Linked DNA regions of Drosophila melanogaster. Each later gene encodes a partner of the first gene's protein in a complex. Each region holds a gene or a part of one and is shown in the gene's direction. Other genes may lie near its edges.

Region 1 (7,632 bases):
GTCGGCGGAATGCGAGGGTTGGACTCGTTAACCTGGGGAATACCTGCTACATGAATAGCGTACTTCAGGCGCTAGCCATGACCAGCGAGTAAGTAAAGATCAAATGAAGAAACCCCACTTCTAATTTCCCCAAAGTAGAAGCGCAAAATAATATCTTTGCCTCATATTTATGATTAAAACTCGGTTCTATATTTGCATTGCCTTGCCAGCACCTTTTGTTTAAGAGCTCACTGTTTATAAATCTGTTTTAGGTGTCAATTTCCGATTACGAAAATAATTACGATTACGAAGCTTATTGGCTTTATTTATCTTCTTACAACTACATATACTCATTTTCCATTTGCAGTTTTAGCAGGCAAATCCTGCTTATCGAGTGCAATTCAGTGCTGCTCATGAAAGTGCAGCAGCAGATTGCCCTGATGCATCACTCGCTGCGCTACGAACTAACGCCTTCGCGAGTGCTGAACGCCACCCGGCCGCCTAGCTTCACGCCCGGCCTACAACAGGACAGCTCCGAGTTCCTAGGATATCTGCTCGACCTGCTGCACGAGCACGAGATCAACAGCTCCTCAGTCACTGGTCACAGTGTTGGTCCTCCGAAGACCGGCAGGGAAGTGGACGACGTGCCCGCACTGCTGAGCGAGGATATATTGTCGAGCGGCGTTATTCCGTACAACAGCAAGGATCACGAGCTCAGCAGTGGAAGCAACAGTGACAATTGTAATCACAAGCCCACACCGACACCACCCGCGACTCCCACCAAAGCCACCAACGGCTTAAAGCAGCAGGGCCAGCAGGTTGATCAGGCGAAGCCACCATCTACCATTGACAAGACGTTCGCTGGCAAGCTTTCCACCACCTATCGATGTTTAAACTGCGGCTGGGAGAGCCGGAACGAGGACAGCTTTCGCGAGCTGCAGCTGTCTTTTCCCGATGATAAGGAAGACTGTGGAGCCACCAACTACTCGGTGCAGGATCTGATCGAGTACTACTGCTCGCCCGAGAAGCTGGACGGTGACAATCAATATTTCTGTCCACAATGCAAGAAGCTTTGCGATGCGGAGCGCCACATCGGGGTCACCCAGGCACCGAAGAACCTTATTCTCACGCTCAAGCAGTTCAAGTACGATCAGAAGTACCACTTCCGCACCAAGCTCATGCATAAGGTGTTCCACGATGAGAGCGTAAGTATCGCAGCGAATTTCTCCGCTACAAGTTTAGCTAACCATTTCGCACGCTAGGTCACAGTAAAAATGTCGGCAAAGGACTCGCTGCAGGAGATGTCCACTGTGCACTATGATCTGTATGCGGGTGTTGTTCACGCCGGGTACAGCATGGATTCCGGTCACTACTTTACGTTCGCGGCGGATCAAGCCAAGAATTGGTACAAGTTCAACGATAACGTGGTTACCCACTCCAAGCCGGAGGAGATGCACAATCTCACTTCGCCCAACACGCCCTACATCCTGTTCTACAAGATGTGCGGCCACTCCAATGAGTCTAATTCGGTTACGGCCAGCTGCAGTTCGAGTATGGTATCGGGCTCAAATGACCAGGTGGTCTCGGTGCCACTGTCGCCGCCTCTGAAGCTGGAGGAGTTGCCACGCCGACTTCGCGACTACGTAAGAAAGGACAACCATGTTTACAACGAAGAGTTGAAGATGCAACGCTTTAAGCGTGGCAACAGCGGTCACGGCAATGCGTTTGTCAGCCGGCACAACTTTGATGGCGATGGTGACGAGGACGACAAGGCGCCGCCGCCGCCCGGAGGATGTGGAGGCAATGGACTGGGCATGAACATCAACCGCTTCGTCTTCTGAGAAAGCGACAGCCAGGATAGCGAGCACACCGGAGGCCACTAGAACATATACTTGTCTACTTTATGAAACACGCGCATACTAATCGAAATGTTACATACATATATATATAGCACGTTCACAACCAATCGAGATATATGCGCCTACGTATATCGAAGTGTATGAGAAACGCGCTTACCGATCGCTTGTTCGCTACCTCCTTGAGTTGTTGTCGATGTTTTCTAAATTGTTTCTTCCTTTTCTCCTTGATCCTTCGGCCCGTTGCCCCAAAAATCATTATACTCATCCACTCATACGAACGCAAACTATTATTGTATTTCCATTTACAAAATTGTTATAATTTTTTTGTTTTTGTTAACACAAACCTAGTTGTAGAACGTGCATATATGCGAACACAAACATATTTAATTATAAAAATTAAAAAAAAAAAAAAACAATAGAATTAGCCAGAAATAGGAGCGATATACTTGAATCCGAAGACCACTAACTTCCAAAACACTAAACCAGAAATAATGTCTGCACCCTAGTTTTTAACGCACAGCTCGAAATTAAATCATATCTCGAGTTGCAATCGAACTAGCAAGAAGCTACAAAACAAGATAATCGCGGCATTGACTTGTATAGATCGAGATCGTTTATAGATCGGGCTATAACCCTCGGATCGTATTATTAGTTTCACTGTTAATTTTAGCAAATTTCAAAAAATTTGCGCATGTGCGACACGAATTTGTAATTGATATATATAAATGTATCTCTTTGGATCTGGTGAGCAGAGGTTGCGATGAATTTTGAACGTTATTGCAATTAAATTGGAATAATTTCAAGGAAATTTGTATATGGTGTATGTCTATTGATAACCAAAATCTATACTATGCTATGCTATAAGTGTATCAATAAAGAAAAGAACAAGCCCAAAGAGTGTTTAATTATTAGAGTCACGAAAGAGTTTAATGTGAAAACAACAAAAATAGTATCCATTCATGGAAGTTACTATATCAAAAAGAAAAGCAATGATCAGAAAGGAGGATATTATATTCAGTTCAAACATTAGAGAGGAGGCGTAAACTAGAATTAAAAACTTGACAGGATTATTGAAGTGGCGAATTGATTTTCTTGCCGCCAAATTTCAAATTATAGCGTACTAATAATCAAAAGTCGGGCCTAAGACTATCGATAATTTAGACCGCGCGGCAGTGTTACCAAATTAATAAGGGAAATTCAAGTGTTGTTGTCAGCAAGGGTGAGAGCCCATTTACAATCTGGTAACACTGCTAGAAAGCGCCAAAATTTTACGTTTATTAGGATTAAGACTAATTTTATTACAATAAAATAGAATTGTACAAATTCCGGCCCCTAGGAAAGGCAACCCAAACTGTGCGGCAAAGTAACGTCCTTGAGAATACCGCATCATGTCGTTCTTCGGATCCAACACGTCGCTGGGAGCAACAAGCACGCCGGCCAAAAGTGAGTTTCCGTAAACAAGACCTCATGCCCTTTTCTCCAAATATTTGTGGGGTCCATTTCCACTTGGTGGAGGCTTCAGCAGCTTCTTGGCGTCCTGCAGGCTGTGGATGCGGATGTCTTTGGGATCTATGCTGGATGTGGGACGGGCTACATGGTGTCAGTGTTCTTATGTGGCCAGACAAAGATGCTCACCCCTTCTTGTGGACCACATAGGCGACGTATCCCACAAAACCTAGCAGGAGGATCAGCAATATAAAAACCAGAGCCATTTTCCACGACCAGCAGGCGACCAGAGCTTGAAGCAAACTAAGGGCAGCTTCTGTAGTATTTTGGAACCCGAAATCTCAGATAAGAATCCAAGGCAGAAGCATAGTTTTCAAAACACTGACCCATTTCTGGTCTTCTTATCTCTTTTGTTCAGCAACCGGTGGCCTCTTCGGATCGCCGTTTGGAGGCACAGCTGCAACCAGCCAGCCAGCACCCGCTTTCGGAGCACAGGCCACATCGACTCCGGCTTTTGGCGCCCAACCGGCGACTTCTGCCTTCGGAGCAGGTTCCGCCTTTGGAGCAACCGCTGCAGCCCCGGCTTTTGGAGCCGCCACAGGAACTTCTGCCTTTGGCGGCTCCGCCTTTGGCAGTACTCCGGCATTTGGTGCGGCGACAACCACAACTGCGGGCACGGGTTTGGGAGGAGGCGGTTTCGGCGGATTTGGAGCAGCTCCGGCAACAAGTCAGGCCGGTCTGTTCGGCGCTCCAGCGACTAGTGCAGCACCACCAGCTTTTAGCGGATTCGGCCAACAGGCAGCTGCGAGTACAGCGCCAGCAAGTGGATTTTCAGGCTTTGGCACAACCACAACGTCGGCACCTGCTTTTGGTGGCTTTGGCACCAGCCAGTCCACTGGCTTTGGGGGCGGAGCCTTCGGATCCAGTAAGTTAAATAAGCCCATTTGTCTTTCTGTGGTATTCCTAACCTGGTTTATGTTTCAGCGTTCGGAAAACCAGCGAATACAACAGTTACGCCGGGATTTGGTGGATTCGGAGGCACCAGTTTTATGCTTGGACAGCCGCAACAGCAGCCAGCGCCCATATCGGCTGACGAGGCGTTTGCCCAATCCATTCTGAATGTATCCATTTTCGGGGATGAACGGGACAAAATAGTGGCCAAATGGAACTACTTGCAGGCTACGTGGGGCACTGGGAAAATGTTTTACTCCCAGAGTGCGGCACCGGTAGACATTACGCCGGAGAACGTGATGTGCCGGTTCAAGGCCATAGGCTACAGTCGTATGCCGGGCAAGGATAACAAGTTGGGACTGGTGGCTCTTAACTTCTGCAGAGAACTCTCAGCTGTCAAGTAAGTCTTAGTGCTTGTCTACATCATGGCATAGGTATTAATTCATTTTATTTTAGGCCACACCAGCAACAAGTGATTCAAACGCTTCACAGTTTATTCGGCAGCAAGCCCAACATGCTTGTTCACATAGATTCCATCAAGGAGTTGGAGAACAAAAAGTGCCAAATTGTTATTTATGTCGAGGAGAAACTTCAACATGCTCCCAACGAAAGCAAGCGTATACTTGCCACCGAACTCTCAAACTACCTTAATCAGGCGACGCTGAAACCACAGCTCAATAATCTAGGTGTTGTGGAGGCTTTGGCTCTGGTATTACCCGACGAAGATCAATTGAGGGAGTACCTTGAAAATCCACCCCGCGGCGTGGATCCGCGCATGTGGCGTCAGGCCAATTCCGACAATCCAGATCCAACTTTATATATACCAGTGCCCATGGTGGGCTTTAACGACTTAAAGTGGCGCGTTAAGTGTCAGGAACAAGAAACGGACACGCATGCATTGTACATAAAGAAGGTGGAGAGTGAGCTGACAGAACTCAAGAAGCGCCATGCCACTGCCACAGCGAAGATACTTGAACATAAACGGAAACTGGCCGAGCTCAGTCATCGCATACTAAGGGTAGGGACACCTAGTTAAATACCCAACTTTATTTTTACATTCAGAAATCCGCATTTTTCAACCACAGATAATAGTGAAACAAGAGTGCACCCGCAAGGTGGGCACTTCCCTGACGCCCGAGGAGGAGGCCTTGCGCACCAAGCTACAGAACATGCTGGCTGTCGTCTCCGCACCCACCCAATTCAAGGGCCGACTCAGCGAGCTCCTCTCCCAGATGCGCATGCAGCGCAATCAATTCGCAGCCAACGGTGGTGCCGAGTATGCCCTCGACAAGGAAGCGGAGGACGAGATGAAGACCTTTCTGACGATGCAGCAGCGCGCCATGGAGGTGCTGAGCGATACCGTCAACAAGGACCTGAGGGCGCTGGATGTTATAATTAAAGGACTGCCCGAGCTGCGACAATCGTGATAGGAATGGAAATGAGCTGATACGTTGAATAAAACCCACATATGTGTAACACAACCCGGTGATTTTCGATGATCGAGACAACGAACAAGTTGTGGCCGTTACACTTTTGCCATTATGTCGTCGTTTAGCATTTCCTGTAGCTTTGAACTTGCACTTTTACGGGCAATGGAGTCGAAACAATCGAAACGAGTTCACACATTCGTCGCCAATGCTGCGGAAATAATTGTGTGGGTCAATGCACTTGCACCGCACAGCTCTTGGACCGCCCGACTTTTCCTCGGCCACTGTCTGAAATTGTCCAATTTCGACGGCTAGGCAGAAGGCAATCGCTCGGACTCATTATGAGTGGCAAACGGTTCGTCTCTGGCAGTTCCAGTTTGTTCAACTCCCAGCATCGGTATCACCATCGTTGTTACATTAACATTATTATGTGCTCTGGCGTGTGCATACATGTGCAGTCTAGTTAGTTGGCTCGTTACATATTTATTTCTTGTGTGGGAAACTAGTTTTCTCCCAGTCAACCAGCCAGCCAGGGTCCGTGCAGGTTTTTTGTTGGCCATTGATGGCGGAGACTTCCGAGCTTCCGTTTGGAGCATGTAGCGCCAGTATAAATGAATTGGCCAGCTCCAAGGAGGCCTCACATCGTTTCAGATCTAAGAAAGTGAAGGTGGTTCAATTGGAGCACTGCATATGAGGAGCTGAAAGTGAAACGTTCAGAGCTATGGGAATTAAATTGGACATGAATGGTTTATTGGTTGTGAGTTGTTTGGCTTGACCGCTCAATGCGAAAATCGGACTAAGTTTTCACATCCTTGCAGTTGTTTTTGTGCGCCTTTTGCTGCAGCGTGGTGGCCAAACCACCGACAGCTCGGCGGGCACAGCTGCACGACGATGTCCAGCTTATCCATCCCCACATCATCACCATAGAGCGTTTAGAGAATTTGCTGCGGCGTGCTGGGGAAATCTTTGGTCCGGCTCTAGAGGAAGATGCCATGGCGGAGGCCAGTAGTCAGGTGCAGGAGCAAGTGCAGCCGCAGCAGCGAATGCTGCCGCCAACGGAGCAGCCGTATAACTTCTATTTACCTCTATACGACTTCGTGGAGCCCAAGCTGGATGCCAAGAGCCGAATGCTGGAGAAGATTGCTCCTCCGCCGCAAAAGACGGAGCACAACTACTACGCGGAAAAGCCAAAAAAGAAGCCAAAGAAGTTTAACGCTGCCAACAAGCACATCAACCTCAATCTCAAGTGGCTTAACACCTACGAGAGGGCCATGGGCGGAGCAACTGCGCCCAAAGCCATGTATCTGGAGCAGGACGAGCGCAACCGAATAAACTTCGACGACTCCTTCTTTGCGGTGGACATGCAGGTAAAGATTCCGGATAATCAGCCCCACAAGGAGCCAGCTGCGCCCACAGAGCTCTTGCAGCATGGCGAAGAGCAGGCCGAGGAAGATTTGATGGCGGCTCCTGCGCAGTTAGCCTTTAACTTCAAGTCTCCCGTCCAGGAAGAACGTCGAACATAGATGCGGTTTTTTTTGCTATAGGTTTTAGTCAGTTGTATAAAAAAGCTACAATAAATGCACTTAGAGTGAGTAAAGTCCAGAATACGGATTCGACCAGTTGGCCTCCTCCTACTTCTTCCGCAGCTCCTTGCAGAAGGTCTCGGCAGCAGCAGCCTCGCGAGACACGGGCACATTTTTCTGAGCCTCATCCTCCTCGAGTTTTTTGACACCCTGACGCACAACGCGTTCAATGTCGTCCAGCAATCCGGAGGCTCCGAAACGGAACCTCTCGGGACGCAACCAGCGGATGCCAAGAGTTTCGTTGACCAACGTCATCCAGGCGATCGCATCTCGTACAGTCTTTACTCCTCCGGCTGGCTTAAGGCCCACAATCTGGCACGTGCGTCGTTTGAATTCCTGAATGGCAAATATCATGACCAGGCCAACGGGCAGGGTGGCGTTGACTGT
Region 2 (9,298 bases), on another chromosome or scaffold:
TAATTTGAATATTAACCGGGCTTCGAACCACCGAAACAAACCGACTGCGTTTCCCATCGACCAAACAATGATTGGTTGTTTGGATCCCCCAGGACTCGCTAAGCTCCCTGCCCACCGATCCACCTGTAACTTTTCCTATGCATTTGCATTTCTTCGGCAAGACAAGACACGGTGGCCTAGTCCCGGAGCAGCTCATTGCTCCAGGCTGCCTGCTCCCGCTCCTCTGATTGAATTAGTCGCGGCTCCTGCACGCGAAACGAACTTCCATTTGCTATTTGCATAGGAATAGTCATCCATCAACAACAGCTCCCAGCGACATTGATTGGCAACGGGCTACGGGTTTTTACGCCTCTGACGCCTGAGCCTTTACAACCATCTATTTGCCTTTATGATTATATATTTTTTTTTTTGGGAACACGTGCAATTGCATGTTATTGAAATTCGGATTACTTGGAATAAGTACCTGTCGTTTACCCTAAAAGTTTTTATGTTGCCAACCTATAAAGTGCATGTGCCTGCATATATTTAGATTACCTTGTGTTTATGAATTATTTTAAACATAAAATATGTTTTGTTAAGTTGCTAGAACAAATTACCGCACAATTTCTTTAATCTATTCCCATGACTTTCGAATCTATAGAGATACTTTTAAAAACAGCAATTGCATGACGATCCAATATTAAATTCTAATCTCTTGTTGAATCATTATAACAAACCAATCATGAATAAATAACAAATATAAGATACGTATCAATCATAAAAGCTAAACTATGGAAACCAGCTTGTTTTGAACTTTTACAACTTAATTATAGATTTATTTAATGATTTGAAATAATGTAAACTGTCAAATAGCTACTTATCAACGTTGCTATGGAAATAAAATGCTAACATAAACCTGTATCCATATTCAGCGTCCTCTGGTTGCCAAGACATATAATTATTTGGCTAATAATCACTTACTAAAACATTTTTAGTTCCACAAATGAATTTAAGCTTCTGATTAACATGCGATTGACCTTATTTCACAGCATTTATTGAACTCTCAGGCAGAACTTTAGCCACTTTCCGTGGCTCCTTGATCGTGGTCTGGGGGCACTGCATCTCGCTCCAGCCGACCGGCACCATGGGCACCCGGGTCTTCCGGTAATCACTGGCATAGGCGATGACCACGCCGAGTTCATTTTCGGCGGTGGTCAGGAGGAAGGACTGCTCCAGTTGGTTAATGACCCTCGCCAGGATGACATCGCCCGGCCGGAAGGACTTGTAGATATCGACGCGATCTTTTTCGGTCTCCCGGACATCCTCCTTGCGCAGAAGTCCGCGGTAGCTGCTTTCCAGCAGCACATTTCGTACGCAGAAAATGGCGCACTTGGCGAATTTTGGAGTTGTGACGAGAACTCTGGCTGTGACCACGTCTCCGGTGGCTGGGATGGTTAGATGAAATCCGGGCTTATGCACACTAACCACCTGGCACTGAAATGGAGATTAATTGGTTCCCAGAGTCAACGAAATGCCAGGATTACTTACTTTATCACCCGAATCTTCGATGTTGACAATTCCAGACTTGGAGGCGTAAATGTAGCCATTCTGCTCGTAGGTGCCTATGCCCAGGACTATGCTGTCCTCGGTTCTGCAGAGTCGCTCCCCGGGCAGGCAGACTACAGTCTCATCCTGCTGTTCACTCATTTTTAGGCCAGAGACAGTTTTTATTTTAAAAAATAAACTAAATAATAAAGCCGCATCAACAAATGGAAACACACGTGCAATGCAGTGTGACCAATATGTGGCAATTGTTAAAATGCTAGCGACAACTTTCTTAATATCACAAGATTTAAAGGCATCTTATATCATTCCTGCTTTGCTATAATAAACTTTATTGTCATGAAATTACATTTAGGAAAATGTACAATTTTTAACTAACTTCTGTAATTAACTTTTGTATGTGAGTATAAAAAGCTATGTCGACTATTTTGCCTGGTGTGCACCGCTGGCGTAAGCGTTTTCCAACACTACTACTGAGCGTGTTTACGCCGGTGCCGCCAATAATTTTCCGTTTTCGTTGAGGTTTTTATATTAATTTGTTGTGCTAGCAAGATGCCCACATCCAAACTGCAAGCCAACATGAGCTACCGCGAGGTCATACCGCGGAACCTCAGTCCGGCGGAGTGGATCGAGGTGAAAATTAACACGGGTGAGTTTCGTGCAAGATTGCCAGAGAAATTCTGAGTAACCAAATGCTCCTCCGCAAAATGTAGGAACCCAGAGCACTTTGCAGGATTTAAAAACCTTCGAAACCTCCGGCGGCTATTGCTACAAGAATACGAAAAATGTTCAGACCAGAAACCGTTTCATATATTGGTAAGTGCAAATCAGAATCGTTAAATTAGTTTCACATGGCCACTGATTTGCAGGCGGACATACCAGGATGTCCTGGAACTATCAGAGGTTAGTTTGGACATCTCCCTGCAGAGGAATCACCTGCGTCTGCGATTCACCGACTCCGCTGTGCTGAATGTATCACTCACGGAGCAAGGTACATCCGTCACCCTGCTGGTGGTCACGGTCAGCAGTGTGCATCGCTATGTGTTTCCCTTGAAGGTCGCTGGGCAGGAAGGTGGCGCAGCTTCTCCAGAGGATCTGCTATCCCAGTCCATTTTCTACGACGTCAATGACAAGATCAATGATCCCAGCACTTACTATGTCACGGATGGCTTTGGAACTATGCCCAACGCGGCTGTATCGTACCTCACTCAAGACTCCCAGTCAGCCTACTTTGCGGTGGCGTATCAGAGCAAACTACTGCTTCACGTTATGAAATGCTCCACCGGCCATACTATCACCCACGAAATCAAGGAGCCGAAGCTAATGCCATGGTTTCTGTCGAATCTCAAGGGTGCCCTCACGTAAGTGGATAAACCTCGATAAATGGCAAATCCCTAATGTTTCATTAATCATTGTAGCGGCCGCTCTGAAACGTTGGAGGCAGCCACGTCCATGGCTTTCAGTGAAATCGGGGGGGAAATTTTCATTCTGGTTCTGTATCGCAATAATGAGCTGCGTCTATGGTCAGTGGATAACTTGCAGACTGTAGCCAGCATTAACTGCTCCACCGAACTGGGACAGGACTCAGCAGCTCAAGGACGTGAGTATAAAATATTATTACGATTTAGATTTATGATCTAGATATAATGGGATTATATTCTTTTTTTTAACAGCACAAAACAGCCAGCTCCGAAAAATAAGCGATCAAAACTTCTGTCTATTTCTCTCGCACAATTCCCGAGCTGAGTTTATATGCGTTAGCATAATGCCCGATGCCGACGATGCCAGCGTTATCAATTTGGTGCAGAACATGGTGCCGGCGCCGCAAACGGATTTGGTCGACTTCGATGCCACATCCTCGCACATCTGGGCCCTTTGGAGCAACGCTGAAGGCGATTTCCATGTCTCGGCAGCATATTTTGCCTCCAACAACGCAATCAAATGGGTTTCGGCTGCTCTAGAACCGCCACCGGATCGGTATTGTCTCACCATGGAGCAGGGAGTGGATCCACGCGAAACTTACTGCAGCTATATATTTCATCCTGGTCGATTTGACCGAAATGTAATTGCCAAGGCTTTATATGTGAGTATAACCAAAACATTCTTTATTATGAATTATTGGAATAGTTTAGTAATTTGAATTTTTTGTATCGTAGATGTTCAGACGCGTTAACCTGCAATTCGATGTAAAGCAACTTTCCATGTCAGTGCTCAAGGAGCAGGTATGCCAGGCCGTGGAAGATGAAATCCAAAACGAACTGAAAGACTTTGTGGTCACCGATGAGGAGTACTTGGAGATATCCACTCGGCTGTGGGATCGCTTTTACTCCTGCTGCGAACAGTATCACATTAAGCTTTCCGAGCCGACAGGACTCGCCGTTCTTGGTGGAATGGATGCAGTATGTTTGGTTAGAAGGCAATCATTCGCATTGCTGCGCCCCTGCGAAGTGCTCGAGCACCTGTTGCTCATCGGCGAGCATAACGATGAAGTGGCGACATATGTGGCGCCACTATTTCGCAACGATCCCGAAATGGCCAAGGGTTTTGTGGAGCTCATGAATGTGGTGACACTGCTTGATAAACTAATTTCGGAGGACATTAAAATCGAGCTAGATAAACAGCTTTACCAGCGGGAGTCACCGGTTGAAGTAATATCTAAGCTGGTGGCTAGAATCAGTATGATCGATGATAATGGTCCAATATTGCCATCAAACTGTGTGAGGCAAATCCAACAGAAGCTGCAGAATATACCAAATCTTGAACCCGCTTTGGAAATGCTGCTCGATGTGCTGTGTATGATTGATCCAGATGAACCGCCGCATGGTAAATTACTTATAAATATATATAATGTTTGAAAATGATTCATATATTTCATTTCTACTTTATAGATTACTCCCTTTCTACGCGCTTCTTGCAGTCGTCTGGGGCTCTAATGGGTAGCGAATATGGACTTTCTATTTTGTCCGAAACAGTGAAGCAAATGGCAATGATACGGTGAGCTTTCGTAATAGTTTAAAAAACTTTGAACTTGGTTTATCATTTATTAAATCATGTGTCCCTAGGTTTTCTGTTTGCCGAAACCTTTTGGTATTGCAGTACATGGCTTATGGTCAGAACGAAATGGAAAGCGAAAATGTTTTAACAAATTTAAATTATTTGAACTCATATTATACACTGGTTTGGATTGCCGAGACACCCATTTCATCGAGTACCCCAGCTGGATTGTAAGGATATATAATTGATTGTATTGCACAGTTCTAACTTCTATTTTAATTTTAGCGAGGCATCTATTCAACGATTGAGCCGCGCCCAACTTTTCAGCGGCTATAATCGACCATACTCCAGCCATCTGAAACATAATGGGAACGATCAGACCACTCTGCTCCGACTGTTCCTGGAATCGAAAGGTCTGTTCAGCGCCTTGACTATGCTGCTGAAGCATGACAGTTTGTCGCTGGACTCGGAGCAATTGAATCTACGCCAGTCTTTGCTCCAACTTGTTGGATACATCAATAAGATGCTGTGCGTATAATATATAGAAAAATTGATCATGTTTTAAGTTTCAAACATCTCTTAGTTGGCCGGGATCTCCGATTTACGTATTTCCGGAATGGTTATTTGGGACCTGTCATCACATCATTGTTCAGGATTACGTGCGCATTTTGTCAAACTGGTGTTCCGTACAAAAACATGCCAGTATGCATTATTTGCTAGTTTTCCCAGCTTTGAAATTAATCCTTTTTTTCCGCAGGACGCTTTATGCTAGCCGTATCTCTATTGGATTGCGGTGAGGCCCACAAGGCCGTGCATCTCTTTCACGAGGCGGAGTCTGGCATTGTGGAGGATGACTTCCTCTTTGAGCATGTACTGAAAAATACCCCTCTATACGGCAAATTACAGAATAGCGTCAGCCGTGGCGATACAATTTCCCCCGAAGACACAAAACTGGCAATTGTTCACTACTATCTTAAGGTTATCCAGCTCTTTGAACAGCATTCCGCATTGGACTACATTATTCAACTGGCTGACATGGCCATTAGGGTGCTGCAGCCAGATGATCCTCAGTTGCCCATGTTCCAGTCAATAGTGTTCAATAATCATCTGCAGTTGGGACACTACGTGGAGGCGTACACCGCCTTAGTCAACAATGCAGATATTTCAAGGCGTAAGGATTGCCTTCGCCAGTTGGTCATAACGCTGTTCCAGAATAAATGTCTGCCACTGCTTATGCAGTTCTCCTACATCGGGTTGCAAGACGAGTTCGAGAGCATTGTTGAATCCCGGGCACGATCAATGAGCATCGATCAGAACGAAGTCTACAACTTTTTGTATGCATTCCATACGAACAAGGGTAACATGAGAAAAGGTTTGCATAAAAATTACTTTATTTTCTTCCATTTCTTCTTGCATTAATAATTTGTTTCCGAACAGCTTCTACGGTTATGTATGAGCAGGCCATGCGGTTTCAAGTAGACAGCGATGCACCAAACGCGCTAGAGAAACGTTGCTCCTCGCTGTTAATTTGCCTAAACTGTTTGCACCTAGTTGACAGCCGCTACAGATGGATTGCCAAGCCTGTTCTTGGTGATGAGCAGGTGATTACCATAGATCAGGATAACGACGATGGTGAGCCCAAATGTGACGAGGACAAGAGAGGCCAGGAGGTGGTTGTTCTAGAGCTGGCTGATATCCGAAGGGAACTGGTGCACGCAGAAGCTTTACGTGAGCTTTCCTTCTACCGCAAAGATACAGCTGCCTACGAGCGGGCCACACCCGAGGAGCTATCATACCTGCTGGCTAGTTCCGGCCTGTACACCGCGGCATTGAAACTTTCGCGGGGACACTCGTTCTCTGTGCTCCCCATATTCGAGAGTCTGACATCCGCTTGTGTTGCTGCCACTGAGGACAAGTCGTCGGACGCCTGGAACTGGCTGCAAAACAACGACATGGCAGGTAGGGATTTTTTAACGTGTATGAAAAAAAGAGGCTTACTATATGTCTTATAACAGATCTACCTCATCGAAGTAATGCTGCCGATATGGCCTGGACTTTACTTCAAAAACTGGTTGTGGATAACGAGGCAAAAGACTCCACCTTGATAAGAAAGAGCGTGGTTCAAAGGCTTCTCGGGTTAAACGCCTTCTTGCCCCAGTGGCTGATAAACTCCTACAAGTTATCCCACTCCCGGGAACTGCTCCACTTACTTGTGAAACACAATCGTCTGCTGGAAGCCGCAGATCTGGGATGTGAAATAATCGCCGGCATGCTGGGAGCAGGTAGCGAGTATTTCGAATTCAAACACGCGGTGAACATAGCAAACCCACAGCTCTGCTTCCCCATCAGCACGATCGATTTGCTGCTGCACGGTTTAAAGATTAATGGCAAGGATGATCTTGATTATGAAATGGTAAGTCATACATATAAATTTCGTTCTACTCAAAATACATTCCAATCATATTCCAAATCTATTCCTATTTTAGGCTTACTTTAAACTCGAAGAAGAAGTTCAAAGATATATTGAGACCATAAAGCGCACCACCGATGATAAGATGAGCATGGCCGTTCTGCAGATGCGAACGGATCTTCAGGAAGAACGTTAATAGTTCGTTTAAATCAGTTTATTTAATAAGTTTTTTGAATTAAATGCTAAAGCGTGTAAATCGTTTAAAAATCATCCGTCATGTCCAGCTCAGAAAGGAACTTTTTATAGATGTTCATAAACTGAGCGACGAACGCTTCAAGATGAAAAATGTGCTTGGCGCCGGACTGCATCCGGTGCTCGTACTCGGTGGCGAACTCGAGCGTCTTTGCCTTGATGGACATATCACAATTGTTAACCAGCTGTTCGACCAGGCCGCGGAATATGAGATTAGGTGGAACGCCTTGCGTGAGTAGCTCGTACAGGCGTTCGCGGATCTTCTCCAGTTTGGCAGGCGTTTGCTCACTGATAATCTGAGATGCTGTCTCACGCAGGAACACCTGCCAGTCCAGGTCGGGAATCTCCTGATTGGCGGTAAACGGCGCCTTGGCCACCTTGGCGGCCTCCAGCATCAAAAGTGCTCGCCTGAGATTGCGCTCCGACTTGTCCACAACCCGTTTGGCCAGCTCCACGGGCAGTGCGAGTCCCTCCCGCTTGCAAGTGTTCTGCAAGATGGACACGATCTCCGTTTCGTTGGGAGCCGCCACCCGTATGCCCAGGCAACGCGACCGTATGGCCGGAATGATCCGAGATGTGGAGTTCACCGATATGATTATCCGGCACGTGGCCACATATTTCTCCATCGTACGGCGCAGGGCGTGCTGGGCATCCTTGGTGAGTTCGTCGCCCTCCGAAATTACAATCACCTTGAATTCCCGTTGGCCACTAATCTCAATTTGATGCGTCTGGGCCACCTGCTTGATGAGATCGATCACCACCGTGCGGTCGTACATGCCAGCGTCGGAGGGATTCACCTCCAAGTGGTAGTTGCTGCTGACCGTCATCACCTCTACCTTCCGATTGGATGGCGTGGTGAATGTCATGGTCTCGCTCCTCAACCGCTCAACGCCGGATCCGTACATCTCCCGTAGCAGGCACATGATGCGTGTCTTCTTGCCAGCACCCGAGGGTCCGTAGAACATCAGATGAGGAAAATCGCTCTGCTTGCAAAGGTTGCGTAGGTTCTCCGCTTGATCCTGCATCGAAATTAGCAAAAATCATAAAATAAAAAACCTTTTTAAAAAGAGATACTTTAATATATGGGCCAGCTATATAGATGTATGCGCCGGTTTCCTCGCTGATTTACCTTGTGGAAGTCCAATTTGGACAGCTCCCGCGGACGGTATTTATCCACCCAAAGTGCCATTTCGTTAACGCATGTAAAATACGATAGTAATTGGATGTATTTTAAGTTACTTTCTGACCGTAAAAGTAATTTAACAAAACAATTTAATGCGCGCCTTTTCCGCTGACTATTTCTAGTAATGCTGCAAGCTTCGATGTTTTTGATGATTATTGTCGATTTCTACGCTGTGATATCGATGTTTAGAGGTTTCATTAAATTTGCCACGCACATATTTTCAAATGATTATTTCGGCTTGAATGATTTAAAAAATTAAATACTTTAACAGATCACAATTAAAATTAATTTTAAAGTAATATTATTACATTTACACTGTTTTCGTGCCACGACTAAAACCAACGATAAAACAAGTAAAATTAATGGATTTCAAAATAAATGATTACGAAAATGCCTAAAAGACTTGAACTCTTTTATGATAAATAAACATTTGAAAACAAAAACATTTCTTGTGTTTCTGTAATAAATAACCGATTCAATGCTTCTCATGTTATGTATGGCAACGCCATTCCTCCGTTTTTACCGGTTAAAATTGGACCGCTAGCAAGTGTGACCGTGGGTTGGCGGTTTTAATGAGTTTCGGTATTCTGGGTAGAAAAAGCAGCTACCTTACTGCATCCATCAGTTTTTTTTCGCAAAACTTAAGTATCTTGGAAGTAAAATATCCGTAGAATTGCACAGAATTCGCGACAAGAACGCATGGAGAACGGAGTGGAACATGGTGTGGACGAGTCAGGCGAGAACCAGGTGCTGAGCAGTTCCGATGGCGAGGGAGACTGTGATGGTGACGGTGAAGTGGAGGGGGAGGTGCTGCAGCCGCCGCCGCCGCCGCCACTGCAAATAACAAACGATTGTGTTGGCGAAGGGGTGCAAGCGGAGGAGGGGGAGCGTGCACCAGCGACGACCGGAGCTGTGGA

What was found. Proteins that work in one complex are often made in the same cells at the same time.
Region 2: Nup54 (region 1) and Nup160 share a complex: the UniProt entries of both Drosophila melanogaster proteins name them as parts of the nuclear pore complex.

Annotation. Positions count from the first base shown.
Region 1 is NT_033778.4:12,426,531-12,434,162, reverse strand, and holds Nup54 (nucleoporin 54kD), read left to right. Parts: upstream 1-3,063; 5' UTR 3,064-3,226; coding exon 3,227-3,281; exon of another isoform or gene 3,282-3,303; coding exon of another isoform or gene 3,304-3,412; intron 3,413-3,473; coding exon of another isoform or gene 3,474-3,550; exon of another isoform or gene 3,551-3,568; intron 3,569-3,702; coding exon 3,703-4,209; intron 4,210-4,268; coding exon 4,269-4,635; intron 4,636-4,691; coding exon 4,692-5,253; intron 5,254-5,320; coding exon 5,321-5,662; 3' UTR 5,663-5,714; downstream 5,715-7,632. Other genes in the region: DUBAI (deubiquitinating apoptotic inhibitor), read left to right, coding at 1-88, 347-1,184, 1,242-1,820; CG43204 (uncharacterized protein), read right to left, coding at 3,304-3,412, 3,474-3,550; CG13154 (uncharacterized protein), read left to right, coding at 6,384-6,419, 6,481-7,185; Dera (Deoxyribose-phosphate aldolase), read right to left, coding at 7,294-7,632. UniProt on the Drosophila melanogaster protein: Component of the nuclear pore complex (NPC), a complex required for the trafficking across the nuclear envelope. Essential for the nuclear import of nuclear localization signal (NLS)-containing proteins in an importin alpha/importin beta-dependent manner.
Region 2 is NT_033779.5:11,121,785-11,131,082, forward strand, and holds Nup160 (nucleoporin 160kD), read left to right. Parts: upstream 1-1,992; 5' UTR 1,993-2,094; coding exon 2,095-2,191; intron 2,192-2,255; coding exon 2,256-2,358; intron 2,359-2,411; coding exon 2,412-2,903; intron 2,904-2,960; coding exon 2,961-3,142; intron 3,143-3,215; coding exon 3,216-3,625; intron 3,626-3,698; coding exon 3,699-4,365; intron 4,366-4,430; coding exon 4,431-4,536; intron 4,537-4,604; coding exon 4,605-4,766; intron 4,767-4,821; coding exon 4,822-5,064; intron 5,065-5,119; coding exon 5,120-5,238; intron 5,239-5,293; coding exon 5,294-5,908; intron 5,909-5,973; coding exon 5,974-6,495; intron 6,496-6,551; coding exon 6,552-6,949; intron 6,950-7,022; coding exon 7,023-7,142; 3' UTR 7,143-7,206; downstream 7,207-9,298. Other genes in the region: Csl4, read right to left, coding at 1,018-1,473, 1,528-1,686; RfC38 (replication factor C 38kD subunit), read right to left, coding at 7,207-8,217, 8,328-8,387; CG4751 (uncharacterized protein), read left to right, coding at 9,081-9,298. UniProt on the Drosophila melanogaster protein: Functions as a component of the nuclear pore complex (NPC). Involved in poly(A)+ RNA transport. Required for nuclear import of Mad. May play a role in double strand break DNA repair. Essential for nephrocyte development.